Notamacropus eugenii: one gene and its partner. The protein of the gene in region 1 interacts with the protein of each later gene in a pairwise test. Links are inferred from orthologs where the notes say so. Each region holds a gene or a part of one and is shown in the gene's direction. Other genes may lie near its edges. The genes, in order: EEF1G and ILF2.

The links.
Region 2: the proteins of EEF1G (region 1) and ILF2 interact in a two-hybrid assay, tested with the Homo sapiens proteins (2 studies listed by BioGRID and IntAct). The two-hybrid records come from large-scale screens. The link is inferred for Notamacropus eugenii from reciprocal best matches to the Homo sapiens genes EEF1G and ILF2.

Annotation. Positions count from the first base shown.
Region 1 is NC_092873.1:15,703,576-15,718,796, reverse strand, and holds the start of EEF1G (elongation factor 1-gamma), read left to right. Parts: upstream 1-9,755; 5' UTR 9,756-9,972; coding exon 9,973-9,984; intron 9,985-10,754; coding exon 10,755-10,913; intron 10,914-11,187; coding exon 11,188-11,251; intron 11,252-11,387; coding exon 11,388-11,530; intron 11,531-12,767; coding exon 12,768-12,911; intron 12,912-13,266; coding exon 13,267-13,396; intron 13,397-14,479; coding exon 14,480-14,687; intron 14,688-15,221. Other genes in the region: TUT1 (speckle targeted PIP5K1A-regulated poly(A) polymerase), read left to right, coding at 442-523, 1,082-1,159, 3,141-3,331, 3,509-3,824, 3,971-4,071, 4,486-4,937, 5,216-5,325, 5,513-5,623 and 2 more. UniProt on the Homo sapiens protein: Probably plays a role in anchoring the complex to other cellular components.
Region 2 is NC_092873.1:377,645,009-377,660,498, reverse strand, and holds the start of ILF2 (interleukin enhancer-binding factor 2), read left to right. Parts: upstream 1-8,740; 5' UTR 8,741-8,843; coding exon 8,844-8,848; intron 8,849-10,085; coding exon 10,086-10,145; intron 10,146-11,607; coding exon 11,608-11,650; intron 11,651-12,113; coding exon 12,114-12,218; intron 12,219-12,731; coding exon 12,732-12,809; intron 12,810-13,360; coding exon 13,361-13,463; intron 13,464-13,931; coding exon 13,932-13,997; intron 13,998-14,295; coding exon 14,296-14,412; intron 14,413-14,863; coding exon 14,864-14,942; intron 14,943-15,197; coding exon 15,198-15,285; intron 15,286-15,490. Other genes in the region: NPR1 (atrial natriuretic peptide receptor 1), read right to left, coding at 405-496, 2,293-2,428, 3,045-3,158, 3,603-3,802, 4,618-5,323. UniProt on the Homo sapiens protein: Chromatin-interacting protein that forms a stable heterodimer with interleukin enhancer-binding factor 3/ILF3 and plays a role in several biological processes including transcription, innate immunity or cell growth.

The DNA of each region.
Region 1 (15,221 bases):
GGTTCGGCTCTATCGCCCGTGCCCGAGACGGAGGAAGAGACAGCCGGGGGCACTCTAGCACCCCTCTCTCGGCCCGGCTGCCCGGAGACTGCGGCGGGGCCTAGTCGGTGGCCGCTGGGGTCGTCTCTGCCGGCGGAGAGGCGGAGCTGGGATCCCCTAGCTGCTGGAGACCCGGCCGCTCCACCGTTGCTCATGAATATTCATGTTCGCTCAGGGCCAATCGACGACAGGCGCTCTCAGAGCTGGCCAATCGCGTCACCGTATGCAGATTAACCCGGGAGGATGGGGCTGCAGACCGAGTGCGCAGCCTGAGTCCTGAGACGCGACCGAACGAGCCCCAGATCCCCGAGAGTGGCGGAAGTGCCTTCTTATTGAGCGATCCCGGTGACCCACTTCCGGTAGTGGCGGAAGTCGTGCCTGGCCCGTTCTGAAGCGGGAAATATGGCGGCGACGGAGCCGGATGTGGAGGCTTTGCCGCGCGGGGGCTTCAGATGCTGCCTCTGCCACGTGAACACAGCTAATCGTAAGGGGGCGGGTTGGCGGTCATGGGTCACGGAGCCCCCAGGCCTAGGCGGACGGGGCTGGGCCCCCTGCCCCGAGGGGAGTGGGGGAGCTCTCTTGGTCCCGTAGCTGCGGTTCCGCGGCCTTTGGCCGTTTACTCCAGTGCGGAAACCGAGGGCCCGGGGAAGTTACCTGAACCAGAGATGGGATTCGAACTCTTGTCTACCTAACGGGCTCCAAGTTCGGAGCTCTGGCCGCTGGGCAACAGTGTCTCACGGGGTCAAAAGTCAGGGCGAAGGCAGAAGCCCAGCTGGGGGGCGTGGGGTGGGAGGGAACAGAGGCAGACAGCGGCGAAAAGGTTTGTTCAGGGTCACCCAAGTGTTCGAGGCTGAATTTGAATTCGGGCCCTCCTCGGTCTTCCTTACAAGCATCCAGGCGAGCTCCCCTCCCTTCAGAGGCACAAACCCAGGCACGAGGAAGGCCTGGGTCTGCTTGGCCTCAGCATCCAAGCACCCAGGGCCATCCAGGGTCTAGGAGTTCTGTGGCCACTCTCATGACGCGGCTCTTGGGGCATCTCCAGTGCTGCCCAGGTCACCTGCCTCCCCACTGCCGGCATCGAGGAGACCAAGGGCCAACATCTTCCAAGGCCACGTCCCTGGTACAAGCTTTATAGACCTGCCAGGGTGGGCAGTTCAATGGAACCTCTACCTCCCTGCCATCCCAGAGTTTGGAATGAAGCCTGTGGCCCACCTCTGGTAGAGAGAGAAAGGACTGGGGGCAGAGAACATTCCAGGGTGTAACTTTGTATCTCTGCCCAGATACTTTTGTATCTACCCAAACATCTGCATTTGTGGACATAACCCACACTGAAGGTGTATTGCTTGACCATATTTATTCATAACAGAGATTTTACTGTTCTTGTTTTCTCAATGGGGGAGGGCAGAAAGAGAAAATGAGTCAAAATAAAATTTAATTTAAAAACCACTGTCTTCCACTCTTGAAGAGCATGCCCTTTTATCCTGGTCATTCTCTGCCCATCCTCAGCCTTCCCTCCCTTCCCGTTGTAGGCCTGCTCTGCTTTTGTTTCTAAGCCACTCAAAGAAACCCCAGAATCAGCTCAGCTGAACATTCTACACATTCAAGTGATCTTATCTCAAGTGGACACTCCCTGCTGCAGGACAGTCCTTTCGGTTGATCTTTGATGGACTCTTTCATGCCCTCCAATGGGTTTTCTAAACCTCCTTGTCCAATTCCTGCCCTTATCCCTGATTGAGCTGGTCTGTCTCCTGCTCTCTACCTCCAGACTTTTCTATGTCGTCCTCTTCATCTTCTTTTCTCTGGCCTCTAGAGCTGTGACTTCTCCTTGTCAGAGCCCTTGGCCTCCTGTCTCTTTGTCTCCCCTTCTGTCTCTCCTGAAGACTTTACTTGTCTGTGGCACCCTGGCCTCCCCCTCCACACCTCATGTCACTGCTCCATGAGCTTGCTCTCCCCAGGGTCCTCGATAGCCTTTTCTCAGTCCTTGTCCTTGTGGACATTTCTAAGGGCTTTGTATCCCAGTATCCCAGAATCTCGTCCAGGACCATTATCATGGAGATTCTTTTTTTGCTGCACTCTACTGACATCTCCCCTGAGGTATTTCTGTGGTGCTGTTGCTCCTTGTGAATCATTGTTTTCTCTAACTTTTCAGCCTGGGACCTTGGCACAGGTGTCCTGAGGGCCCACTCCCTTCCCTTCTCCATACACACTCTTCTTAGGGACTCTCTTCTGTAGCCATCTCTATGCAGATCATTCCACATCTCTTCCTGCTCCTCCTGTGTCTTCCCCCTGCCTCCTGGACCCTTTCCCTGGATCTCTTCTGTTCAATCCCAGCATGTTCTGAGCCAAGCGCATCAGTCTCCTGACCTGACTGGCCTCATCTCCCAATCTCATTTCTGCTGTCCTCCTCCTGGGCTCTCACCTCGCATTCCAGTCATGTCAATTCTGTGTCCCTTCTCTTGCCTCCCAAAGTCAGGCCCATGTCGCCCTCCCCCCAACCCAGACTCTTGTTATCTCCTCCTGACTGGTGTCTCTGCCCCCAGTCTCTTCCCTCCCTCCTCTGCCCTCCATCTTCCATCCTCCATCACACTCTCCCATCCTTCCCTCACCCCTCACACCGCCAGAATCATGCCGGGGCCCAAAGCCCTTCTGTGAGTTTTTGTTGCCTATAAAACCAAACCTGGCTTCCTTTGCCTGTCATAGCATGGCATCCCTCATCTGGCCCCTGTCTAACCCCCTTCTGGCTCCCACCGTGCTTTCCTCTTGACCTCCCCAGACTCCATGATTCTGTCTGTGCCTTTTAGGGTCAGCCCAGGAATGATCTCCCCAGGTGATACCCTAGTTGGAGGGAGAAGACCTGGGTTCAAAGGGGATCCTCATGTTTCCTTTCTGTGTGACCCATTGCAAGTCACTTAGGTTCTCTGGGCTTCAGTTTCCTCAACTCTATGTTGAGGGGCCTCCATGGCCTCTTGAAGCTCCACCCAGCTCGAACTGTGGTTTGCCTGAAGCGTTTGGTTTGGCTCTTTCCCCCATGTAGATTAAAACAGTCAGTACTTTGTTGCTGCATCCTTGGAAGCAGCACGTGCTTAATGTGTGTATTTCAGGGCCCAGCCTGGATGCCCACCTTGCAGGCAAGAAGCATCGCCGCCTTGAAGAGCTTCGAGCTGCACGCCGGGCCCAGGGCCTGCGGAGCGTGTTTGTCAGTGGTTTTCCACGTGGTGTAGATCCAGCCCAGCTCTCTGAGTACTTCCAGGCCTTTGGACCTGTGGCCAGCATTGTCATGGACAAGGACAAGGTAGTGGGGCCAGCCTGGGCAAGCCCTTGTGAGCAATCTGATGGAGGAGGGAGTAAGATCCAGGTCAGGGAGACTCTAGGGACAGGCTGGAGGAGATAGGAGATGGTGGGGCTTGGGGTTGGGCCATGGTGATTGGAGAGGAGTGTCTGAGAGCTTTTCTCTGCTGCGGCCTAACAGGGAGTGTTTGCCATTGTTGAAATGGGAGACCTGGGCACCCGGAATGCTGTCTTGTCCCAGCCTCAGCACACCCTCGGTGGCCATCGGCTACGTGTACGGCCTCGGCAGCAGAAGGAATTCCAGACCCCCGCTCCCAAATCGTCCAGAGGGGCACCGCCAGATGACCAGCAGCTGACGCAGGCTTTGGCACAGGCTCCAGATGTGGAGGCCCAGATGGTGCAGCTGGTGGGCCTTCGAGAGCTTTCTGAGGCAGAACGCCAGCTTCGGGGGCTTGTCGTGACCTTGCTGCAGGAGGTCTTCTCTGAGTTCTTCCCTGGTGAGGCTTGTCCATCCCCCTCAGACTCTCTGATCCCTAGGCCTCTAGTCAGTGCCTCCATCATGAGCACCTGTCCTGCCCATTCAGTTGTACAGCTGGCGTCTCTTTGAATGTCCCCTGATCTCGATGCTGTGCTCACCACCCAGGCTGTGTCATCCGTCCCTTTGGCTCCTCTACAAATGGCTTTGATGTTCATGGATGTGACCTTGACCTCTTCCTGGATCTAGGGGATTTGGAGGGGCCACAGGTGAGATGCTAGAGAGCCTGGTGCAGTGGGTGGGGAGAGTGGGCTTGTAGAGAACACTATGGATGAATCTCATTGGACCCTTAATGGGCCTATGGCTTTTGTGTTCCCAGTTGTTCAGATGAGGAAACTGAGTCTCAGAAATTTAAGTCATTTGCCTGTGGTCACTCAGCTAGTAGATGTTGGCAGTGGAATTTGAACCCAGATCTCTCCGGATTTTAGCCCAGCATGCTTTACTTTATACTGCTTTGCCTTAAAAAAGAAAGCCTAACTAAATAGTTATAGGGTGGGTAGATTAGGGAGGATACTACTGTGCTGTGCTGAGACTGAGCAGCTCGATCTATAGTATATGGTCTGAGGATGGGTGATGGAGGGAACCCCAAGGGATCATGGGCCCAACTTGTCTCTCCCTTACAGCAGGATCCAAAGGCCCCAGCCTCTCCAGCGTTGGACTCAGCCCTTGCTTCTCCACTAGATCCTCAAGCCTTGGCCTCCACTCCAGTTTCCCCTGTAGACTCTCAGGCCCCAGCTTCCCCCCAGGACTCTGAAACCCCCACCTCCTCCCTAGCCCCTCCGACCCCTGACTCGGCCCTAGCCTCTGAGGCCCTGGCCTCCCCACAGTCCTTGCCCCCAGTTTCACCCATCCAGGAGGAGGTGGGAGAAAGGGACTTGGGGAAGACCTGGGAACTTGGAGCACTCAAGGGGGCGGAGGGGGAGGGAGAGGCCATGCTGGAGCTTGTTGGGTCTGTCCTCCGAGGCTGTGTCCCTGGGGTGCACAGTGTCTGGGTTGTGCCCTCGGCTCGACGTCCTGTGGCCAAATTCTGCCATCGACCCTCTGGTCTTCACGGCGACATCTCCCTCAGTAACAGGTGCTTGGTGTCTTTCCCGAGGTCCTTGTTTTGTTCTGCCCCTTTTCCTTCCTGTCCTGTCACTGCTGCCCACAGCCCCATTTCAGTCAGTTCAGTATTGTTTGCATTCCAGGTAATGTCCTGGATCCTGGGGGTACAGACACAAAACAAGCTTGCTTCTGCCCCCAGGGAATCACAGATGGACAGAGAAGGAAGCAGAAAGTAACTGGAGGAGGGAAGTGGGGGGATGAGGCAGTCTCTTCTGGGGATGGTGAACCTGGGTCTCCTCCTTATCCTAGACTGGCGTTATATAATTCACGGTTCCTGAGTCTCTGTTGTGCCCTAGATGGGCGAGTACGGCCCCTGGTCTATACCCTGCGCTGTTGGGCTCAGAGACGAGGGCTGACAGGTAAGGAAGGTGGGCATGAGGAGGAGGCAGTTCCTGTGCTCCCTGGGGAGGGTGGGGGGATGGGGGAGAGGGGTAAAGGCAGGGGCTGGCACAGACTTAGGCCACGTGCAGCAGGCTGGGGGCAGTAAACAGGAGGCTCACTCAGACGCTCTCTGTGGCTACTGGTAAGCCTCAGTTTTCTGCCCAGGGAGTGGCCCTCTTCTGAGTAATTATGCGTTGACTCTCTTGGTGATCCACTTCCTGCAAACCCGGGACCCTCCTGTGCTGCCTTCCCTCACAAAGCTCACCCAGATGGCAGGTATGACATCCCAAGTCAGAGGCTCCTGACGCCCTTGCCCTTATCTTTGTCTGTAGTTGTGTCTGCCCACATCACCATCTTCCCAGTGGACAGGCAATTCTCCTGTCTTTAGTAACTGTGAGTTGTCTGGGGATCTTGGTGAGAACTGTCTCCTGGATGCTTTTCCATTGTTTCTTTGCTAGAGCTGCCCTTTCTTGTATCCCCAGGTGAGGAGGAACGGGTCGAGGTAGATGGCTGGGATTGCAGCTTCCCCCAAGAGGCATCCCGCCTGGAGCCCAGCACCAACACAGAGCCCCTTGGTAAGTGCCTGGGGACAGCCGAGGAGGAGGGGAGGAACCTGGACTTTGGTTGGAGGTGGGCTGGGTGGGACCATAGGGCCCTTGTGCTCCTAGAGGCCAGACTAGGAGCAAGAAGGGTGGGGAATCCCATCTCCAGCCCTTCCTTGGGATGGATCTGGATGGAACAGCTCATTTTCACTCAGCCTCAATTTGGCCTCCCAACAGCTGTCCTTCTGGCTCAGTTCTTTTCCTGTGTCTCTACTTGGGACCTCCGAGGCTCACTGCTATCTCTGAGGGAAGGCCAGCCACTGCCCATAGCCGAGGGTCTGCCCCCTGGTCTCTGGGGGGGCTTACGTCTTGGCCCTCTGAACCTCCAGGACCCTTTTGACCTAAGTCACAACGTGGCTGCCAACGTGACAGGCCGGGTAGCTGGTCGCCTGCAGAACTGTTGTCAGGAGTCAGCTAATTACTGCCGAAGCCTCCAGTTCCAGCGTCGGTCTCCCCGAGGCCGGGACTGGGGTTTGCTTCCTCTCCTGCAACCCAGCTCTGCCAACTCCCTGCTGTCTGTTACTCCCATTCCTCTGCCCCTTGCCCCCTTCACCCAGCTCTGTGCTGCCATTACCCAAGTGTTAGAGGAAACACTGGGGTGCCAGATAGAGCAGAGCTGCAAGAGACGGAGGCCAGAAGAAGTTGGAGATGAGAAGTGTCCCCACGGAGGACCAAGTAAAAGGCTACGAGTAGAGAGGGAGAAAGGGCAGAATGAGGAGCAACAGGCATCTGAGGGGCACCAAGGAGAGGCTGGGGTGGAAGAGATGGTGCTGGAGACTGATGGTGAGGAGAGCCAATCATCAGCCACTGGGGACCATGGGCCATCAGGGGAGCAGCTGCCGGAACTTGGGCAGCATTTAGTAGAAAGGGAAGTAAAGCAGCTAGATAACTTAGGGAGTGAAGAGGTAGAAGTAACTCAGGGGGAGAAGGAGACAGGGCCAGGGAAGGCACAGACCTGGCTCTGTACGCTCTGGCACCGGGTATGGCTTGGGCGGCGGCGGGTGCGCAGGCAGTTGCAGCAGCAAGCCAAAGGTGAAATGAACTGGCTGCAGGCAGAGGCTCTGGTGACCCAGGAGCTGATAGCCCAGGAGAGCAGGAAGCAGAGAGCAGAGCCAGAGCTGCCACGGCTGCCGCAGCCTCTCCTCACCTTCACTGCTTCCCTGAGCCCCACTGGCCAGTTTCTCACTCTCACACAGCTCCAGGATCCCCAGAGCCTGTTCCCCGATCTCCATCATTTCTTACATGGTTTCCTACCTCGAACTGTGCGGGGCATCCTAGGATGTGAGAAGGATGACTGAAGAGAGGAGGGGGCAATAAAGTGCTTTTGTATGAGCTTTGTCTCTAGGTCTTATCTTTGGGGCACTGCCCTGGGGCTGGGTTATACAGGATTTTACCAGACTATTACCTTAGGGTCTGAGCCAGAAATTTCTACCTGGGGATCTGCGGGTACATTTTATGGAGGGGTGTAACCTTGGATGGGGGAAAAGGTGCATCTTTATTATTACTTACTTGCAAGGTTTCCTTTATAATTATATGCATTTTATTCACTTAAAAAGATTCTCCTGAAACCAAAGACAGTACAGATAAGGCTTACCCAATTTCCTTAATATCAATGCAAAAATTTTTAAATACGAGCAAGGAGATTACAGCAATATATCACAAAGAACATAGGCTATGATCAGGTGGGATTTATAGTAGGAAGGCAGAGTTAGTTCAAAATTAGGAAAACTGTCAGCAAAGTTGACCATATTATGAGAGTTACAGAGCTAAAAAAAAAAACAGAACAAAAGGTCAAGAATATCAAAGGATAATTCTTTTGATGGGAAAAAACGTACAGGCAGCCTGATAGTACCAGATTTCAAACTATGTTACAAAATAGTCATAAAACAATCTGGTACTGGCTAAGAAATCAAAGTAGTGGACGATCAGTGGAATAGATGAGGTAGTTAGGAGACTGTAGTGACTAGTAATCTGATGTTTCATAACTCCAAAGCTCTAGGCTTTGGGGACAAGCATTTGCCATTTAACAAAAACTGCTGGAAAAATGAAGAGTTTGGCAGAAACAAGGCACAGGCCAATATCTCGTGCTGTATTCCATGATAAAGTCAGAAGGGATAAATAATTTAGACATACAGGATAATATGAGTAAATTAGGGGAGCATGGAAAAATGTGACTGTCAGATCTGTTGATAAAGGAGTTTATGACCAAACCAGAGATAGGCTCATGGGAATTAAAATGGATAATTTTGATAACATGAAATTAAAAAGTTTTGCACCAGCAAAACTAATAGATTAACCAAAATTCAAAAGAAAACTTGGTGAAAAATAAATAAAGGGCTGATAAAAGGGCTTCATTTCTCAAACATACGGGGAAATTAACCAGATTTATGCACAGCAGAGGCATTCCCCAGTTGATAAGTGGTCAAAGGATATGGAGCAGGCAGTTTTTAGAAGAAATCAAAGCTATTAGTAGACAAATGAAAACATGCTTTAAATCACTACTGGTTAGAGATGCACATTAAAACAACTCTGAGCTACTACCTCACATCCATCCGAATGACTAATATGAAAGAAAAGACAAATGACAAATGCTGAAAGTGATGTGGAGAAGCAGGGACGTTAATGTCATGTTGGTGGAGCTGGTCCAGTCTTTCTGGAGAACTATTTGGAACTATACCCAAAGGACTATTAAACTGTGTATGCTCTTGGACTCAAAAATACCACTGCTAGGTCTGTATACCAGAGATCAAAGAAAAGGGAAAGGAACCCATTTGTACAAAAATATTTATGACAGCATTTTTTTTGATGGTAAAGAATTGGAAGTTGAGAGGATACCCATCTGTTGGAGAATGGCTGAACAGGTTGTGGCAAACGATTGTGATGGAATAGCATTGTGCTATAAGAAACGTTGCAGGCGATGTTTCAGAAAAACCTGGAAAGACTTAAATGAACTGATGCAAAGTGAAATGAACAGAACCGGGAGAACATTGGACACAGGAACAGTAATATGGAGAGGATCAACTGTGGATGACCTAGTTATTCTCTGCAATGATCCAAGACAGTTCCGAAGGATCCATGATGAAAAATGCTATCTACCTCCAGAGAGGTGATAAATTCTGAAAGCAGATGGAGGCTGACTTAAAAAAAAAACTTTCTTAATTTCCCTTGTATTTTTTTTCTGTGTATGTTTTCTTCTGTAACATAGCTAATAAGGAAATGTTATTCCTGAGTTTATACGTGATTGTCTTCTTAAGGGCAGAAAATTTGGAACTAAATTTAAAAACATGAATACATATAAATGTAAATGAATATTTATTATATAACAATATGTATGATAAATAAGAAATAAATATGCTAATTAGAAATAAAACTTTTTTCCATGTAATTAGGAGGTATTTAACGAAGCAAATAAAAATACATTTAAAATAACAATAAAAATATGAGGCTGCATTTGAACTTGTGTCTTCTTGACCCTGGGACCAGCTATGTGTACACTCTGGCGCCTCTCGCCGCCCCCCATGCCTCAGGTTCCCCAGATGCGAGTGGAGGTGACAGGACAGGACCGCCTAGGTTCCCCGCTGCCAACAGCACGCGCTAGGAGGCGGGCGGGGGCGCGCCCAGGCAGCCTCTAAACAGGGCTAGCCAGCCGAGAGCAGCTCTGGCTCCGGCTCCACCCCTTCGGGGAGGGGCGTGGCGGGCCGGGGCGGGCCGGGGGAGGAGACTCCGAAGTGCTCCGAAGCCAACTGGCCTCTCGCGCGGGCCCTCGGCGGCGCCCTGCGCGCAGGCGCGCACCGCTTCGTTACTTCGGCCGGTGCGGGGAGGGCTCGCCCTCCTGTCGCGCGGCTCCGTTCGACGCCTTCCTCGCTTTCCGGCCGCTCTCCCCTCCCACCCGTCCCTCCCTCCCTCCCTCCCTCCCTTCCTCCCTCCCTTCCCTCCTCCCTCCTCCTCCCCTCCCCGCCCCCCCGGCCGGACTCGCTTTGCGGCAGCGCCGACGTCCCCACCCCCTTTCTCTGCGGAATCACCATGGCGGCCGGGGTAAGTTGGGCCGCCCCGGGCCCCGGGTAGCGTATCCGCCGCCATCCTTGGTCCCCCCCGCCGCCGCCCACCTCCCGGGGGGCCCCGCGGCGTGGGGGGGCCCGGCCCGAGCCGGGGCGGCCGTTGTGGGCCGCACCCGCGGCCCAGAGGCGGCGGCGGGGGGAGAAACTGAGGCTGGCCGGGGCCGCCGCCCCGGAGCCAGTGCCCGGGCCTGCTCCAGCCCCGGAGCGCTTGGAGATCCCCGCGCCTGCCCGTGCCCGTGGCCGGCCTCCGGACTGGACCCCTTGCCCTTCCTCCGGCCCGGCGCCGGAGGCTTGGCCTGGGGGCTGAGGCCGCCTGGGGCGGGAGGGCTGCCCTGGGGGGTGGGGGGCTAAGGGCAGGGGCCAGGCCGTGAGGGCCGAGGGTGATGAGCCGGGGCTGTGGCAAGGGGGGGTGTGATCGGGGTTCATGGGACTCCCCCTCCTCGTGGGTCAGGTGTGTGCTGTGGGGCCGCGTGGTCGGGGGCGCCGGAGCGGGGCTCTGACCTCAGGCGGTCTGGGGACCCCGTCGTCCTCGTGGGGGGCCCTGCCTGCCCAGTGAGCCCCGTTCGTGCTCCTTCACCGGCTGGCCCCGCGGGGCCACGCTTGTGATTCCCTTGAGCAGGGCCTTGGGGGGGATGGCTGGGAAGCCCTGCAGAGGTCCCCGCTCCGGGGGCTCCGGGGGCCCGCCTGGTGAGCTTGCGGGCTCACTGCGGGAAGCAGCCGTGTCTAAGGCTGCGGCTGTCTCCACAGACCCTGTACACGTACCCTGAGAACTGGCGGGCCTTCAAGGCCCTCATCGCTGCCCAGTACAGTGGGGCCCAGATCCGCGTGCTGTCCGCCCCTCCCCACTTCCACTTCGGTCAGACCAACCGCACCCCCGAATTCCTCCGAAAATTCCCCGCTGGCAAGGTGAGTAGGTCTTCCCCGAGCCGGAGTTCTCCAGCCTTTCCTTCACCTCCGAGGTAAATCCTGGGCTGGTCTGGGGTCGGGGCAGCGGCTCCAGTATGGTTCGCCCCCCAGGCCGCTGTACCCCCTACGCGTTCTAGGTTCTGGGGTGGGAGAAATGGGTCTGAACCTCTTGTGCTGGCTCAGCTTTGTGCTAGATTGCCCCCAGGCTGCTGGGGATGGGCTCCTTTGGTTTCTCAGGACTTAGTGTCTTCTCTGTGTCTGCTTTTGCCCCCAGGTTCCAGCTTTTGAGGGTGATGATGGGTTCTGTGTATTTGAAAGCAATGCCATTGCACACTATGGTAATTTTGGGGGGGCTCTTTGAGGGGATCAGATGGGCAGGGGCTCTAGAAGGCTGTTTGTAGTCAGTGGGAGCAGCTGTTTTTGGGATGGTGGGCTTTCTTGCAGAATGACCCTCTTCTTTCCTCCCTTCTGCAGTGAGCAATGATGACCTTCGTGGCGCGACTCCAGAGGCCGCTGCCCAAGTGATCCAGTGGGTGAGCTTTGCCGACAGTGACATCGTTCCTCCAGCTAGTACCTGGGTGTTCCCCACTCTGGGCATCATGCACCATAACAAACAGGTGAGCCCTGGGAATGGGAAGGTGGGCTGCAGGACCCTAGCCACAGGCAGCTTCAGAAAGCACAGAGCTGACCTGACTCCTGCCAGAGCAGGCATCAGCGCCCTGCCCTTCTCTGTGGTCCACCACGGACACAACCCTTACTGTTGCTTTGTGTTAGCCGTCCACCTTTCTGGGAACACTCCCTCTCAGACACCCTCCTTTCCTCCAAGATTCAATTCAGATGCCTCCTTCCTAAGGCATTTGCTGGTCCTTTGCCCTTTGCTGTGTGTATGTAGACATGTGTTGTCTTCTCCAGTAGAATATAAGCTTTTTGAGGGCACAGACTCTTTTGCCTCCAGCACCTGGCACAGTGCCTGGCAGAGGAGGTGTTTGTGCTGATTGAATGGAGGGGCTGGTGCCAGGAGAAAGCATGGTGGGAATCCCAGCTGATAGAAGGAACCCTTACATCCTCCAGACTCATGCCTTCTTTCTATAGAGAAGCTAAAGGAGGACCCCCAGAGGATGTGGTCCTTGGCATTTCTTTCTTGGTCTGTGACCACTGGGAATTAGTATAGCTGTGATGGCCAAGCTTCTCTTGTGCAGTTTTATCCAGAGATCCCCCTCCTTGAGGTTGTGCCCTCCACCCAGTCTGAGGAGAGGGAGGGAGATGTGAGCCCTGATTCTGCCTCTGTCTTGGTCAGATAATTTCCCTTCTCTGGCCTCAGTTTCCTTCCTCTGTAAGGAAGGACCAGATGACCTTGAAGATTCCCTCCAGCTCTGCATCCTATGGTTTCTAAATTGGTAGAAGTTGGCATTAGAAAGAGGCTCTAGAAGGCATTGATCGAGTGGGGCCAAGTTGTAGTGAGAGAATATAGCACTGTCAGCTGTTGGTCACTCAGCACATTTCCTCTCTTGGTGCTGACCTGCTCTCCAGCCCTGGGGCCTGTCCAGGTCACATGGTCAGGGAAGGTTCTGCAGAAGGGAGCATTTGGAAGGGCCATCTGCCTGGCCCCAAAGGGGCAAAAGTTAACCTGAGATTGAATAGAAGCAGAAGATAAGCGTCCCCAGAATGGCACATGGGGCCAAGAAGCTGTGAAGCCTGACTGGGCTGTTGTAGAAGTCAAGGTTGGGCGCCGATCAACCCAGAGTCTGAGCTGGAGCAAGCTGATGTGCCTCCAGGTCTGCTTTTGTAGAGGTGGAGCGAGGCTGGACCATAAAGGTGCCCTGAGGTCACTGTATTTCCTTGTCTCCCCCCCAGGCCACAGAGAATGCCAAGGAGGAGGTGAGGCGGGTTCTGGGGCTGCTTGATGCTCACCTGAAGACCCGGACTTTCCTGGTTGGGGAGCGTGTGACTCTGGCTGACATCACAGTTGTGTGTACCCTCTTGTGGCTCTATAAGCAGGTGAGTGGGGCAAGTAACAGAGTGGGTAAGGACAGAGGGCTGGCCCTGGCCAGGACAAGCCTGAGACATGAGGCTGCCTCCCCAGCCCAGCCCTTTTTCTACTTTCAAGGTCCCTTGGTTCCTGCAATTGCCTCCTGGTTGTTGAGACTTATGGGGGCTCTGTGTTTGCTGGGAAGGGAGATGGGGTCAATGCTTGCTAGAATCCTGCTCCCCCCCCCCCCCCCATGGGCCACACTCTTGGGTTACTTTGGGTTGAGCGGTTCCCACCCAGGGGTACCTCCCTCATTAGTGTAAGCAGGGGAGGCCTTTGTAAGGCCCAGCCAGCACTGAGCCACCTCCTGGTCTGTTCCTCCAGGTCTTAGAGCCGTCTTTCCGGCAGGCCTTTCCCAACACCAACCGCTGGTTCCTCACGTGCATCCACCAGCCCCAGTTCCGGGCGGTGTTGGGAGAGGTGAAGCTCTGCGAGAAGATGGCACAATTTGATGGTAAGTATGAAAATGTTGGTGATGGCTTTGGAAGCTTTTGCATGCCATGTCGTCCCCCTTCCTGAAGCCTAGCATGGTGACAAAGCTGGTGGTATATGTAGTATTACTTATCCGTGGCCCCCCACCTCTGCCAAAGTGGTGGAGACAGGCATCTTCTGCGGCCTTTGGAGGCATTCCTCATTGGCACTGACTGTTTTGTGCTGTTCTCCATTTTGCCTGTTGTTGATGTGTTTTCCTGCTTTCCTTATTCTGCATCTGTTCATGTGTCTTCCCATGTTTCTTCATGGTCATTTCCTAATGGTACAGTTGTGTTCCATCACTCTCATGTGCGTTTCCCCACCCAGTCCATGGGCATCAAGTTTCTGCGGTACAGAAAGGGAATTGTGGTGTAGTGGGTTCTGGTGGGTAGGGGGAGCCCAGGCTCCCACCCCCTTGCTGGCTGATTGTGAAGCCTCAGGGAATCCCCTGTTTGGCATATGGTGGGTGGGGAACTGTCATTCCTGCACTTGTGTGTCCTTATGTATTGGGGGCTCTGCATTGAGTGCACCCATTACTTACCTTAGTCATCTTGGCAGCTAGACCCTTGTCAGAGATAGTTGAAGGAAAGATTTTTCCCCTCTTGACTGTTGCTCAGTTCTTATTCATACAAAAGCCTTTAAGGTTCATATGTTCAGGACTCTCCTAGTTCTTGGAATTGGTGGTAATTGTAATCACTTCCCTTCTCATTTTTTGTGGCCTGACCTTTGACTTTCAGGCCAGCTCCCTATTAGATCTCAGTATGGCATGTGGTGTAAGGTGTTGGTCTGAATCTGATTTCTGCCAGACTGCTTTCCGCCATTCTGCCCAAATAAGCCTGAGGCATTGAGTTGAGTGGTCTTCCCCTTTGCCTTTCCCCATTGGCATCGATGACCCCTGCTTTCTAGAATAGACATTGCTGAAGCTCTGGCTGGGCACTGGGCTGGGCAGCTCCAGGTGGAGGCTCTGCCCCCGCCTGCAGTCCCTCTCTGCTCTTGGAGTCATGGTGTCTGTGTGAGAGCCACCAGAGATGGAGCTTTAGCGGGTCCCGTTTCTCCCTTTCTCTAGCTAAAAAGTTTGCTGAGAGTCAGCCTAAGAAGGAGGCCCCAAGAAAAGAGAAGGGACAGCGAGAAGAAAAACAGAAGGCCCAGGCTGAGCGGAAGGAGGAGAAGAAGGCTCCTGCAACCCCAGGCCCAGAGGAGGAGATGGACGAGTGTGACCAGGCTCTGGCTGCAGAGCCCAAGGCCAAGGATCCCTTTGCCCACCTGCCCAAGAGGTAGGAGACAGCCTGGGGCAGCCAGGCAGTTATTTAGAAGCATTTATGAAATGCTTACTGTGGGCTTCCCAGTGGGGGAGAGGGTGTGCCAGTCACTGGGTCTGCACAGGAGTCAGGCCTAGCCAAGAATCAGGAGATGTGCCTTAGTGCTGGCCATGGAGGGAGGGAGCAAGTGGGGCTTGGGCTGAGCCTCTGAGGAAGGAGGACAGTGAGAGACAGAACCTTCCAGACTGGGAAGGCAGGAAGGGATTGGGTAGTAATTGGGAGCCATGGTAGCTTACTGAGCAGGGGACTGACCTGCCTCTGGCACCTATGGTGTGGGGATGGACTGGAATCAGGAGAGATCAGGTGTTTCTTGTAGTAGTTCAGGTGAGAGGGGAAGAGAAATGTTTGGTGAGGGAGGGAGGAAGATGAGGATGAGCAGATGTCAGCCCTGGCCCGTAGCACAAAGAGGGAAAGGAGGGAGAGGCAAGTGTTTGGTGGAAAGAGCATGGCTTCTGTTCTGAATATGGTGAGTTTCAGGTGTCCGCTGGC
Region 2 (15,490 bases), about 360 Mb from region 1:
GTTGCATAATTATAACAATGCAGTGTGACCTTGAAAATGTGATGAAAGTGCACCTCCCTTCTTTGCAGAGGACTATAGGTGTAGCACGTTGTATATATGATCACATTTGATGATGCACTGATTTTGTTCAACAGCTCTTTTTTTTCATTTTTATTCATTATTACAAGGAATGACTTAATGGGGGGAGAGAGGAGAGGGGTGTATTTGGAAACAAGGGTGATGTAAAACTAAAAGATATCAATGACTTTTTTTCTTAATTGTAAAATCAAATTAGATAATGTTTAGAGCAGCTATTATTGAGTGACAGGTAACCTGATACTACTTTGAGATGTGAATGTAGGGTAAATATCTGATAGTGTTGTCTGTAGGGTTGATGGCATTCTCCCTCATCCCCACAAACTTACCCTGAAAATACCAGTAGAAGGCTCCATGTCCCAGAGAGAGAAGTCATTCTCCCGGTCACCATTGCTATCGATTTTTAGGTATCCTGTAACACCTGAAGTAGGCAGGAATAGAGTGAAGGGTGAGGGAAGGGATGTGTGTCTTGAGAGGTGGGGAAGGTCCAGGCACTTCTACTTATAATTCATACCCATTCATATGCCTATAGCACTTTATGGGTATATAAAATGCTTTCTTCTTAATAACTCTGTGGGATAGGTAGCATGAAGATTATTATCCCATTTTATAGCTGTGGAAAGCGAGATTTAATGACTTCTCCAGGGTTGTACAACTAATAAGTAAGAAAGACAAGACTTGAACTCAAGTCTCTTGGCCCCCAAGTCAGTGCTGTTTCCACTGCTGACCCTTTGACCCTTGGTATTCCTTCCCCCATCTCCCACCATCCTCATACACTAAACAAGCACAGAAAAGTATCCCTGTCCTCTGAACAAAAAGTACTAAAGTAACAGCAGGACAACTGAAGTCTCGTATAGATATTTATCTATCTATCTATGAATAAAGTCTCATATATATGTCATATACACACATACATATGCTTTTCCTATGGAAATATATCTTTCTATCTATATCTATATCTATCTGTGTGCTTTTCTTTTCTCTTATTGCTACAGCTAACATTTCTAGTACCATATTGAATAATAGTGGTAATAATGGACATCCTTGTTTCATTCCTGATCTTATTGGAAATGCATCTAGCTTGTCCCCATTGCATATAATGCTTACTGAAGGTTTTAGGTAGGTACTGCTTATTATTTTATGAAAAGTTCCATTTATTCCTATGCTCTCCAGTGTTTTCAATAGGAATGGGTGTTGTATTTTGTCAAAAGCTTTTTCTGCATCTATTGAGATAATCATGTGGTTTCTGTTAGTTTTGTTGTTGATATGATCAATAAGGCTAATAGTTTTCCTAATGTTGAACCAGCCCTGCATTCCTGGTATAAATCCTACCTGATCATAATGTATTATTCTCATGATAAGTTGCTGTATTCTTTTTGCTAATATCTTATTAAAAATTTTTGCATCTATATTCATTAGAAAAATTGGTCTATAATTTTCTTTCTCTGTTTTGGCTCTTCCTGGTTTAGGTATCAGAACCATATTTGTATCATAAAAAGAATTTGGTAGAACTCCTTCCCCAATTTTCCCAAATAGTCTATATAGTATTGGAATTAACTGTTCTTTAAATGTTTGATAGAATTTACTTGTAAATCCATCTGACCCTGGAGATTTTTTCCAAGGGAGTTCATTGATGGCTTGTTCAATTTCTTTTTCTGAGATGGGTTTGTTTAAGTATTCAACTTCCTTTTCTGTTAATCTGGGCAAATTATATTTTTTAAAAATAATCATCCATCTCATTTAGATTGTTGAATTTATGGGCATACAGCTGGGCAACGTAATTTCCAATTATTTTTTAAATTTCCTCCTCATTGGAGGTTAGTTCACCCTTTTCATTTTTGATATAGGTAATTTGGTTTTCTTCTTTCTTTCTGTGTGCTTTTCTTATGGAAATTCAGGATACAGTGGGATGGAGACCAGATGAAGGCAATGGAGTCCTCCTCTAAGAGATGGGGTAAAGGGCTTTAAATGGAGATGGATTCTTCTTCCTTGTGATAGGTAATGAAATAGTGAGGAGGCTACGCCCTGGTTGAGATGACTTCTCAAGGATCTCTCTGGCTGAAGCATTTAGGAGCTCCTGAATCTCCTTAGAATTTTTTCTTTTCTTTCACATCATGCTATCCACCTGTTTTACACACACACACACACACACACACACACACACACACACACACACACACACACATACACACACATCCCAACCCACAAGGCTCTGACCATAGAAACTTCGATTCCACATCCTTCTTGTGACAGCTTCTCCATCAGTGGCTGAACCACCACTGTCCAGTGTCTCGGTCACTGCTTGGGCATAGATCAGAAGCCCATCATAGAAGGAGGCTGCAATGGTGTTCACCTGTTGAGGAAGGGTGATGGTGAGGGATCATCCTATCTCAGAAGGCTAGGGGAGAACACTGGATAAGAACATAGTGGGGTGGTGGTGGAAAGTAGAGATCAGCAGGGACCAGGAACAGGCAGGAGACACTACCAGGGCAATAGAGGAGGAGATACCTAGATAGGTAATGGAGGGATGAGGAGCACCAGGAAGAACTGGGAGAATAGATATGGTGGCTTTGGAGTAAAAGACCAGGGAAAGTGACATGGTGGGGGAGAGGGGAGGAATGTGGAGAGTGGGCACAATGTGTAGGGGAAACAGGGCTATAATACAAATCAAATATTAAGCACTCACTGTGGGAAAGGTACTGGGCAATTCTAGACAGTTGGTATACAAAGAGATAAAAAGAAAGTCTGCTTTCAAAGAGCCTACTTGCATTCTACAGAGCACAGTGAGTAGAGCAAAAACATAGAGAAGATGAAGCAAAAGGCATTAGGATGGAAGCATGGAGCTCCTGTGGGTGGAAAGGTTGTAATGGGAAGGGCAGTGGGTATGGTGTGTGTGTGAGTTGGTCACACTAGGGCAGGGCTATGTGAGGCTGAACATGGCCTTGGGAGCCAGAATGGGGCTTCCTTACCAGCCCATCCTCCACTGTGAAGTTAAATTTCTTCTGGGCTAAATCTTTGAGCTGCTGCAGAAATTCCAGATACTCAGGATTATCAGGCTCCTTATATGTGATGATTTTAGCAGCCTGGCCATGGGGCAGGAGGAGAGGGAAAGAAGGCATTATTAGGGATACAGCTGAAAGGGCAATACTACAGGGCTCCTCATTCCCAGGGATATTGTGTTCACGCCCTTGGGTTTCTCTGTTTCTCTTTGATCAGTCTAAAGTCCTAAGTTCAGAAGCAAAGGAATAGACAGATAATTGTCCAAACTCCTGCTCACCCCAAGGCACCTCTGAACTCCAGACTTACCTCATTCCTCTAATTTGTCATTCATTTGACTCTCAAGCCCCAACTGTAGTCATCAACCCATCTCCTCTAGCAGCCATCCTCTGACTCCCTGATAACCTGTCCCAACCTCATCCCCATTCTGGAAGTATGTCAAGGACCAGAGAAGCAAAAAGAAGGATAAGCCTCCAGCATAGCATCATACAATGATAGGTAGGTTCTAACCAGGACTTTGGGGTACCCACCTGGAAGGCCTTTCGGGCAATGGCATCATACCTATCCCCCTGCTGCCATGGCCTTCCAGAGATAGGGCTACGCCCATCCTGCAGGCTCTTTCCGAAGACATCAAGGTAAAAGAAAATATAGTCTCCCTCGGTCATCCCTGCTTCCTGGGCCAGAAGCATCAGGTCTCTGAATGTGTTGGGAGAACTGCAGATATAGATGACTGTGGAAGAGGACAAGAAGGAGTCAGATGAGCAGGAGATAAGAATTTAATGGAAAAGTTTGGGGCTGAAGGAGGGGAGAGATGGGGTTAATAAGGGCCAAGAAAGAGATTCCTTTATTTTAGAGACCTGTCCTCCAGCCCCGAGGTGAGCAGTACCTCCAGGTTCAGCTTGGGCTATGGCAGGGGAAGGAGGACTGAAGAAAGACTGAGATGAAGACAATAGGAACTCTTTGACCTCCCCACTACTAAAGTAACAAAAGAAAAGGTGGGAAGGAGAAAGTGGAAATTGGAAAAGGAAAGAGAAAATTGAACCCAAGGGGAGAAGGGGGAGATAACCAGAAAGGACAGAGGGTCCAGGGAGTATAGGAAGAGAGGAAGGCTGGGTGAAAAAAAGAAAGAAAAGGGAAATGAGGAAAAGAGGGAGAGGGAGACCATAGGTGTGAGATGGACAAACTCAAGGAAGGAAGTAGAAAAGAAGACAGAAGAAATAATTCACACAGAGGACAGGAAAGATGGGGAAATGGGAAAGCAGGGGAAGAATGAGGAGTGGAAAATGGGAGGAAGTAGGGAAGAAAGAGCCGGAGAAACAGGAGCAGAACAGAAAAAGCAAAGTAAGAAAGCGGGGTGAGGAGGGCGAAGAAGGGACAGGAGAAGGGCAGGAGCCAGTGGCGGCACACTCTGGTTGGGAGACGAAGGCCCGTCTGGGTCTGGAGCTTGAGGGATCCTGAGGGTGTAGGAGTGGTGAGGTACCGGTCAAAGCCGGCCTCCCTTTCCCGAAGGGGCTCCTCCCATGGGGTCTCAGAGTACCCCCTTACTTCTGCCCTTTTGTTGCACGTCGCGCAGAAGTGCGCTATAGAGCTCCAGGTCACCCTCGGCAAACTGCAGGTAGTCCACGGTAATGTTGAGTCGAGCCCGGAGCCGAACGTACAGCCCTTCGATGGCAAAGAAGCAGGGCCGGTCGTCCCCGACTGGGGGACGGTCGTTGTAGAGCAGGAGTGTGCGGCGCTCCCAGCCCAGCTGCTGGTGCAGCGTGGCCACGAAGTCCCCGATCTTGACATGGCTCGGACCGGTGCGGGTGGTCAGGGCGTACTCATCCTTGGAGCCGAAGCCCAGCGCGGACGCCCCGGCGGTCAGCATTGGCACGTTCCAGTGCGCGGTAAAGCGGCCCACAGGCGCGGCGGAATACACGCACCCTGGTCCCAGAAACGCAGCCGGGTGGTATTCCACTTTGAGGTCCACCGCAACCAAGGGTGCCCAGCTGTCGGAGCACACCCCTTGGGGGTTCTCGCTGCTGCCCAGCTGGTACACCGCGGTCCAGCCCGGCAGCAGGTCCGACCGTTCGTTCATCCTCTTCAATGCCATCTCCACGGCCGGTCCCACGCGTGACCACGACCACGGGTACGTGGTGTTGGTCACTGGTAGGACCACGGCCACTGTCAGGTTCTTCGCCTGGCACCCCCGGAGGACGAACTGGACGAGGAAGGGGAGGAGGACGCCCGAGGGGCACTTTGGGGCGCGCATTGCCTCAGCTGGAGAGAACAGGGCAGAGAGAGCGCCCAACCACGTCCCCTCCCCTCTCCACGCTACCTCTTCCCTCTCAGTGAAGCATCGAGTCCATCTCCGGGGAGCGGGGAAGGGAGACTCCTGGGCCCCGGGTGTCCCCTCAGTCTGGGTGAGAGACAAGAGGAATTCGAAGGGGTGAGAATGAGCAGAAGGGGCAGACAGTGCTAGCGTGCCAGGGAATGAGCGTGTCTCAGAGGGAGGTTGCAGGAGGGCAGGTGGGTGAGAGGGAGAGTGGAAGAGTGCGTGCGTGCGTGCGTGTGTGTGTGTGTGTGTGTGTGTGTCTATGCTAGTGAGAGAAGTGGGAGAGATAAGAAAGGAGGGGAAAAGGGAAGGAGGAGGGGTGTGAGTGTGCGCGCTCTTGTCTGTGATCTAAGGGTGCCACTGAGGGCAGAGGGGTTGTCCAGCCAAACTCTCCGTCTGCCTTAGGGGGACTGGGAAGGACCTGGAGCCCTCCCTTCTTCCCTCTCCGACTCAATGGCAAAAGAACCAATTCCTGATCTTTAACTCCTTCCTCTCCGGAATCTGGCTGCCTCTATCTTCCTACCTCCCCGCCTTCTTCGAAGTCCCTCTAACCACTCCTACTTCTGTCTCCCCTTCCTCCCTTGGGGATCTGGTACGGGTGAGAAAGCCTTTCTAGAGGACGGGAAGTTTGTTGAGGAGGTGTTTGTTGTGTGCATGTGCCTGTGTGCTCTAACAGCTGTGTCCTCTTCCTCCTTCCCTTCCTCTTATCTTTCCCCTTCCACCTTGTAACATCTGGTGAGAGAAGCATTTGCTTACTTGAGAATCTGCTAGAATAAAATTGGAGGCGGGGGGTGGGCTAGATTTATGGGAATGATGAGTTGGAGTATGGGAAAAGGGAAAGAGGGTGAGAATTGAGCTGGGAATCAGGAGTCCAGGCTCTCCATCTGTACGCGATTTCCCCTCCAGGACTGAGCCACGGAGATGCATCACATAATTTTAGATTGTAGAGCAGCAAGGGGCCTCAGAAGCCGTCAATTCCAACAGTTGAGGAAACTGAGCCCCAGAGACGTGAAAAGACTTGCCCAAGGAACAAAGTGAGAATTTTTAGGTCGCTCGGGTTCCTAGGCTGGAGGAGAGAGATGAAGACATAGCACCCAGGACTGATGGGCACAGATCCCGCAATGTGGGAGCTTTGGTGAAGACTATTCCACGAGGGGGTCTTTGGAGGTTTCCTCCCTTCTCCGGCTGATGAAGCAAAGCTTTGGATCCTATCCCAACTCCTAGAAGATATGGCCCGAGGGCTAGCGACCGCCCGTCGGGGTTTGGGAGCCTTTGGTGGAAGAGCGAGAAGGAGGCAGGGTGGGGTGTGGGGTGTGCGACGTGACTCAGGGACTGGAGGGAGCTCAGCCTGGACTACTCGATGCAGTCCCGACAACTGTGGAGTCATTCTGCCACCCAGTGGTCAGTAGTCATCTCTGATGTTGCCGGTTCCAGCCTGGCAGGTCATCAAGAACAAATTTCCCCCGAGGTGCCCCAGGCCAGCTTCCGTTAATCATCATCATCATCATCATCATCATCATCATCATCATCATCATCATCATCATCGTCATCGTCATCATCATCACCATCACCACCACATCAACCACAACAGTAGCAGTTCTATAACCCTTTAAAGGTTTGCAAAGAACTTCACAAATATTAGTTCATATTATCTCATTTGAGCCTTATAACCACCCTGAGAGGTGAATGCTATTATTATATCCATTTTACAGATGTGGGAACTGAGATGAAAAGAAGTGAAGGTCAGATTAATTATTAATTACCCGAGGCTAATAATGAGACAATTTCTCATTCCTTTCTTTCCCCCCCTCCACTCCCCAGTTTCCCATCTCCAGCAGCTTGCCGGGCACTTCCATCTGGATGTCCCATAGACATTTCAAAGTTGATCTATTCAAATCAGAACTCGTTTTCTTTCCCCTAAACCCTCTTTTCCTTATAACTTCCCTTTTTCTGTTAAGGGCATCACCCAGGTTCACAATCTTGACTCTCCACTTTCTCTTGCGTAATCAGTTTTGTAGATTTCATTAGCGTGTCTTTTGCCTGTCTCCTTCCGTCCACTCACATGGTTAGCTCCCTCATTTCCTCTCATCGGAACTATTTCAAGAGCTTCTTAACTGGTGTCTCTGCATGCAGGCAACCTCCCTCCTCCACAATCCGTCCTCCACACAGCTGCCAAATGGTTATTAGCCAAACCCAGTTGTGAAGAAACTTCAATGGCTCCCGTTACCTCTGAGATAAAACACCAACTTTTCTGCTTGTCGTTTAAGGCCTCTTACAAGCTGACTCCAACCCAGCTGGCCGGGCTTCTGAAGCTTTACTTTCCCTGTTGTCGCCCCCTCCCATCCAACAGCGTTATTTATTTGCTTTATAAATGTCACCTCAAGCTCTCTCCCTTTAAGGTTCAGTTAAGAGCTGCCTCGTCCAAGAAGCCATTCCTGAATGCCCCAGTTGTTATTCCTCCACTATTATTACTTTGCATTTGTTAAAGAATATTTGTATTTACTTATTTGTAAGTAAATTAAGTCTCTTACTAAATTAAGTCAAGTAAGTCTCCCCTCAATCCCCTCCCCCCCAAGTCTCCCACCTCGTAGAGTATAAGTTGTTGAGGTCAGGGACGGCTTCATTTTTGTTTTCATATCATATCCTCAACTAGTGCAGTGCTTGGCACGCAGTAGGTGCTTAATAAATGCTAGTTAAAATGAATTCTTTGCTCAGCCTATTCGACACCTTCGTTTATTCCTGTTGCTTCAGTTTCCCTTCGAATCTTCCATTTCTTCACAATTTGCCTTGAGATTCCACTTTTTTTCTGTTTAAATCCTGAAACTTCTGGGACTCAGTCTTCCCCCTTTTTTATCTCTGGTTTTCATTTTCCTCTGCTTCTAATTCTCATACTCACGCGTATTAAATTCGGGCAAACAACGTATGTTACAATTTATGTTTGAAATTATCCCTTTTCTTCTAGCAAAGTAGCGCTGGTTGAATAAGGTGAATGGAAAAATTTGTGGTTGGAATCGAAAAGTGTTGTTAGCAGAGGATGGTTTCGATCCATCGACCTCTGGGTTATGGGCCCAGCACGCTTCCGCTGCGCCACTCTGCTAGCTATCGCCAGCCTTGGCTAAATCCTATATAAAGAATGTAGAACTTGTCTGGCGTGTGCGTCAATACTACGTGAGCCTTTCCGCAGCGCCTCCTGTCGAACGTTCTACATACAAGTAGCTCCAGTCGCTGCTTTTCGTTAGGTCGCTTCTCATTGGCTGTTTTCCAGTACCGCAGGCTCTCCCAATGGCTGATAATTCTGTTCGACCGAGGAGACCAATGGGTGTGGATGACGGCATGACGCAGCAGCCAATAGTGACTGGTCTTATTGGAACGTGCCGGCAAGCGGCCTCTCCGGTTGTTGGCTTCTCAGAGGAAGGGGCGGTTGGCGGGGCCTCCATTGTTCAAGACTGTGGGAACCATGAGGTGAGGTGCCGCGGGGCTCCAGGGGAGACCTGGAGCGGGGGATGAGGACCAAGGCCGGAGGCAGTGAGGCCAGAGCACCAGGCAGCTGGAGGGACCGGGTGTCCAGGAGTTGGCTGAATCCCAAGATCCCTTAGGCCGAGTGGGGGAGGGATGACTCCAGTATTTTGTGGGAGGGGGTGGAGAAATCCAGGGGAGCTCCTACCTCATCTCGGGGGACAGGGAAGGCAGAGAGCCTGGAGTCCTTGCCTCCGGTGACACTTCTTACCTGGAAGCCTGTCCTGAGTTCTTCGCGTTCATTCTGTCTGTCTCTTCAAGTTACCTTGTACGGCAGTAATAGAAATTGAGATCTCATTTAAGCTAAATGTAAAAGAGTTGGGAATAAACCTACCATAACGCAGAATACTTACGTACAGATTCAGTTACAGCCTGCTCAGAGACAGAAAGCACAACTCAGATAGCTGGAGGGACATTCAGTGCTCATGGATGGGCCCTGCCAATGTAACAAAAATACGACCAAAGTGAATTTACAGATTTAATTCTGTACCAGTCAAGCTATCTGTGCCCCCATTCACTGTGAAGCGAATGTAAGTTCCTTGAGGGCCAGAGATGCCTCCATCCTCAGCACCTAGACCCGGAGCAGGGAAATTCTTGCACCCACGATTTCCTTTCTGTGGTAGGGAATTCCCAATAAGGCATTTCCCCTGCTAATGCAGGATGCCACCTATTAGTTTTAGAGTTGCCTAGGGCAGTGAAGAAGGTGAGTTCCATAGGCTACTGGGTTACCCAACCAGTATGTATCTCAGGCAGGACTTGGATCCAGGTCATTCTACCATCTTTATTTACTTAGGCTAGGTACCTCTGCATTAATAAATGTTTTTTGAGCAGTGTAATGCAGAATTATTACATATACCACCAGATGCTGGGGTTGTGTTGATCAAGTTTGTATAACTTTTCTCTTTTAATTTTCTCTTAATGCTGTCCGGGATAGGGGAAGCAGGAGGGATGTATTCAGTAATAAGCATGATGTAAAAACAAAAGATATCAATAAAAAAGATTTTTGAAAATAAATTCTTGTGGAGTTGAATGTTTGAGAGGTTGGGTAAGCAGTTCCCATTGAATTAAGTTGAATCGTAACAGGGGGAAAAAGAAACTGGGTGGGAAAAGGTTTGGATCAACCTATGGTGAGGATGTTATTGGTTTCTTCACTCTGTGTAACAACTGCTTGTCTTATTTATAGGGGTGATAGAGGCCGTGGTCGTGGAGGGCGCTTTGGCTCCAGGGGAGGACCAGGAGGAGGGTTAGTACCACCTTTGAGTGCCAGATGGGGTGTATGTCTTCCACCACCTGATTATTTTTTTAGTCCAAGGCCTCTTGCAATAGAGGATTTGGAGTGGGTAAATATTGCTTGCTTTTTATGAGGCCGTATTCTGGCTGAGACAGCTCTTCCCATGTGCTCTTTCTTGACATCTCATGTTTATCCCCTTTTCTGTACTCATTCAGATTGCCTCTATCCAGGTCCTTACCACATCTTCCCCAGATGATTTTAATAGCCTCATAATTGGTATCCCCACTTCTGGTCTCTTTACTTTGTCATCTGCAGCTTCCATATTGATATTCCTAATTTACAGATCTGACCATGTGACTCCCCTATCCAAAAATCTTTAATATCTCCATGTGCCGCTAGGATAAAATGCAAATTCTGCTTTGGTATTTAAAGCCCTCCACAATCTGGTTGTCTCTAGGCTTTCCTATCTTATTTCATAATACTCCTTTTTACTCTCTCCCTTTTCTACTCCAGTTAGCCTGCTAGCCATTCACTATATATAACACTTCATTTCCTGCCTCTGTGCCTTTGCACAGGTGGTTTCCTATGTCTGGAATGTTCTCTCTTTTTACCTCTACTTCTTAGAATCCCTAACTTCTTTCAGAGTTAAATTCAAGGGCTACTTTTTTGGGTCTTTCCTGATCCCTGTTTCTTCCTCTCTCTAGTTGTTAATATCTTCTCCCTTCTTTATATAATTTTTGATTTTACTTGAGTACATGTTGTCATTCTTTTCCCCAACTCCCCTTCTCTGGTGAGACTATAAGATATATGAAGGTGGGGATGGTTTAGCAAGTACCTACTATGGTATCTTGCACATGTGCTTAATATTTGCTGAATTGTTCCTTCAGTGAGTTGATTTTTGCTTCCATTCCCGCCATGCGGAGAGAGATAACCTCAGATGACTTTGCCACCAGTTTAGAGCAGTAGTTGTTTACAAAGGTCTCTGATAACTACAGAGATGTTAGCTCATTAACTACATTTGTATGATAATACATATCCTGGAAACTTCAAACTAATGTAGGTGGGTGGGTGTGAAGCTAGTATAAATTTTTAATATCTCCTACTAAGTCTTCACACAATGTTACCAATGCTCTGAGCATTTAATGTTTAATCTTATCACAATAAGGTTGTGTAGGTGGACAGTGCTAGATGCCACATAGAAATTAAGAATCTTAAGTTCTGTATTCCTAACACTTGCTCTTTATTTTTTAACAATCTGCAGAATTTGGTATTTATTCAAGTGTGGATATGATAACATGTCATGATAAAGGAATAGACTTAACTTTTACTGAGTAGCAAAAATGAATCTTTTTCTTATTTAAACCTTACTGATGCCTTCTTTACTTTACATATGCTTTCTTTTTGTAGTTGTATCAGAAAGTCTAGTCCTCCTGGTTAGGGGAAATGACTTTCTTTTCTTTCTTTTTTTTTTAAGGTTCAGGCCATTCGTGCCACACATTCCATTTGATTTCTATGTGGTGAGTTTGGTACTTTGATTGAACTTGGGTCTTCCACTTTTGCTATTATAATTGTAGGGGCAGGGCCATGGTCCTCTGATGTATAGTCACAAATTCATTTGAATAAATATGGTTTTTTGGGAAGGGTTTTGAGGTCCACTTTTATTTCTTTTCACACAGAAAGAGGCTATGCAGGGTGAGAAGATGTAACTTTGGTTGTTATTGGCAGAAATTCATGATACTGTCACTTTTGTTTTTGACTTTCTGGATACCTTAAGTTTTCTTTTCCTTGATAAGATGTCATGATATTTTGGAAGAGACAGTTGTTGACTTTGTATAAAATATTACTATAGAATTTTACTGCCTTTATGGCTTTTGTATGTCTGGTAGAATATAACTCCTCAGGATTTTTGTCGCGTATAGTTTGTATCTCTGTAGCAATTATTGTGATTCTTATTATCATTTCAACTCCTTTCTGGTTCAGTGTGAAATGGCATTTCCCCGAGTCAAACCTGCACCTGATGAAACCACTTTCAGTGAGGCATTGCTAAAGAGGAATCAGGACCTTGCTCCCAACTCTGCTGAACAGGTTTGTTCTATGGATATTCTCGATGTTTTCCCCTGATAGTTTACGATGAATAGCTGAAGATGGTGTTGGGAGTAGTTGCAGAGACTTACACTTGGTTGTTCCTCAACTTTCTCATTTTGGGTGGAAGAAGGTATTGAGAAGAAGTGAATTTGATTTTCCTGAAGCATAGGTCCAACTATATCTCTTCCCTACTCAGTAGTAACTCTGTTGCCTCTAGAATCAAATATAAGTTCTGTTTAGCCTTTAAAATACTTCAGAATGTGGCCCCAACCCATCTTATTTACCTTAATTGTACATTACTCTTTTTACACTCTATAGTCCAGCCAAACTGAAATTGCTATACCTTCTATAACAATTGAATCTTGATCCAGACCCCAAAGTAACAAGTTTTTATTAAGTCTTGATACCTGGTATTGTCACTCATAATGTTTAGTTCAGTTGTTCAGGTGCTGTTGACACCCTTTTGGTGATTTTTTTTAACCTTGGGCTTTTATATTTCATGTTAATTTTCAGGCATCCATCCTTTCTCTGGTAACAAAAATCAACAATGTGATTGACAACCTGATTGTGGCTCCAGGAACCTTTGAGGTGGTAAGTTTTTGTTGACTGAGTCTCAGGAGGAAGATAGCCTTACATCTGTAATAGTTTCCTTGGGCCTCTTTTCACTTTATAGCTAGTTTTTATATAGGGTTTTACATATGTTACTTCATTTGATCACAGCAATAATAGGTGATATTATTCCCTCTTTACAGATAAGGAAATTAAGGCCAAGATAGCTTAAAGTGATTTGCCCAGGTTCACATAGCTAGTAAATGTCTGAGGTAGGATTTAAGTCAGGTTTTCCTGATTTCAAGTCCTACACAATTCATTTATACCACCTAACTGCCTCTAAGGAAAATACAGTGGAATTTCTTTAATGTTCTTGGTGTTGATTACCATAGTTTTTATTTGTAATGTGGATGTGTTTTTTGCTTTTAAGATAGCATATCTTAATCTTGCTAATAGTAGGTTATGTAATACGTATAACATAATACTATGTAAAAAAAAAAAAAGACTGAAATTAGAACTTTTTTTCTCTCTATACTTTTGTGATTTCAACAGCTTTTTTCTGTTGATGTTAACTCCTCTCCCCTTTTCAACAGCAAATTGAAGAGGTCCGGCAAGTAGGATCTTACAAGAAAGGGACGATGACCACAGGGCATAATGTGGCTGATCTGGTAGTGATCCTGAAAATCCTGCCAACATGTGGGTGACAAGCTTTCTTGGTCCTGGGAGCCAGCTCGGGCTGGGTTTGAGGCATTGGGGGTTTAAGGTCCAAATTGCCAGGAGAGATAATTTGAGGAAAGAGAGAGACCTGGGGAGGTGGAGGGGGAAAAAGGAAGTTGTGATTAATTTGGAGATAGATTTAGGGTATCAGAAATGTTGTAAAGTTACTAACTGAAAAAAAAGAGCTTGGACGTAAAAATGATAATGGAATTTGGGAAATGTAATTGTGTATGGATGGGGGATGAAGGCTGGAATGTTTTGAGCTGTGAATTTATTGCTTTTCTTTTCAGGACTAGAATTTTCTGCAATGTTAGATAATTCTTGCAATATTACAAAGATAAATCCTTGTTTTCTAGGCATGGTACATAAGTAGAGTGCTAGGTGATCTGTAGAAATAACAGGTAGTGGTATTAGAGGGGTATTTATTTTCTACTTTCTTTTGTCTAGTGGAAGCTGTTGCAGCCTTGGGGAACAAAGTGGTAGAAAGTCTTAGAGCACAGGATCCTGCAGAAGGTTTGGCTTTATTATATAATATATATTGAATTCTTATTGGTGCTGAGTACTGTATGGAATGCATGTACGGATCATTCAGATTGGGCAAACAAAACCATCAGTAAGGGATGGCTGTTTCTCAGAGGCTGTGAAAATTGATTCCCTGGCCCAACCAACTTTAAGCTCTTTGTTCTAAGTTCTTGTTCTGAACTCTACCACAGAATTACTTGAAAAGATGATTTTTTTTTCCATCCCCAGGCTCCTCTCCTCCAATACCTTGCCCATGTGATAGACTGTTTCATTTGTTTTGTTTCTTCAGTTTTGACTATGCTGACCAATGAAACTGGCTTTGAAATCAGTTCTGCTGATGCCACAGTGAAGATTCTCATTACAACAGTGCCACCTAATCTTCGAAAGCTGGACCCAGAACTACATTGTAAGTCAAGCTCCTCCTTGGCCAGGGAATTTTGTGACCTAGAAGCATTGGGTACAAGTGAGCTTGCTGTTTGCTGTTCAGCATGCTCAATACTATGTTCTCTTTAATTGGTGTTTGACTCATCCTGTGACTGAAGAAGTCACTAGATTTCTTACATGACTTGTAAATCCTGAATAAGTATACCTACCCCCTGGGGAGATTTTAGAAGTGAGAATTTCTATGAGAGTGGTTTGAAGGCTGAATAGGAAAAGTAATAAAGTAAATTTGTGGAAAACTTTATACTTTAGAGTGTACAGTAGCCATCTTGCTCCCAAGGTTGAGAAATCAAGGTGTGAGCACTGAGATGCCTTTTTTTTTTCCCAGTGACTTAAGTTTTGTGACAGTGAATTAGGTTGCTTACAGGACAGTGTTTATTTAAGATGTCAGCCTGATATTTCTTTTTCTTTTCCAGTGGACATCAAGGTTCTGCAGAGTGCTTTGGCGGCCATTCGGCATGCTCGTTGGTTTGAAGAGAATGCTTCTCAGTCTACGTAAGTCACCCAGTCAATGAGGTCACCTCAATTCTTTTGTCATTTCTGTATCAGCAGTGACACAGGGGATGGTAGAGATCCCTCACATTGACTCATTTTCTCCCCAGTTCTTCTCTAGGCATTTGTCATTTTTACTTTATGCAACATAAGAAAAATGAGACTTGTAGTTAACTTCCTTAAATCTTGTATCTAGCATTTAAAAGGTTAGGGTCCAATTTATTGGCCCTTCTGACCTGGGGTTCTTTTCCCCCTTAGGGTGAAAGTTCTCATCCGTCTACTGAAGGACTTGAGGATTCGGTTCCCTGGCTTTGAACCTCTCACTCCTTGGATCCTTGACCTTTTGGTAGGTGAAGGAAGGGGCAACTAGGTTTTCAAATTTATACACACTTGTTAGGAGTGATGAGATTAGAGTTGGGAAGATCAGAATGTGACTACTACTTCATATATTATGTGACCTTTGTCAAGTTACTCCACTCTCTTAACCAGTTTCCTCATTTGTAAGATGGTGATAATAACAGTACCTACCTTATAGGGTTGTTGTTAGGATC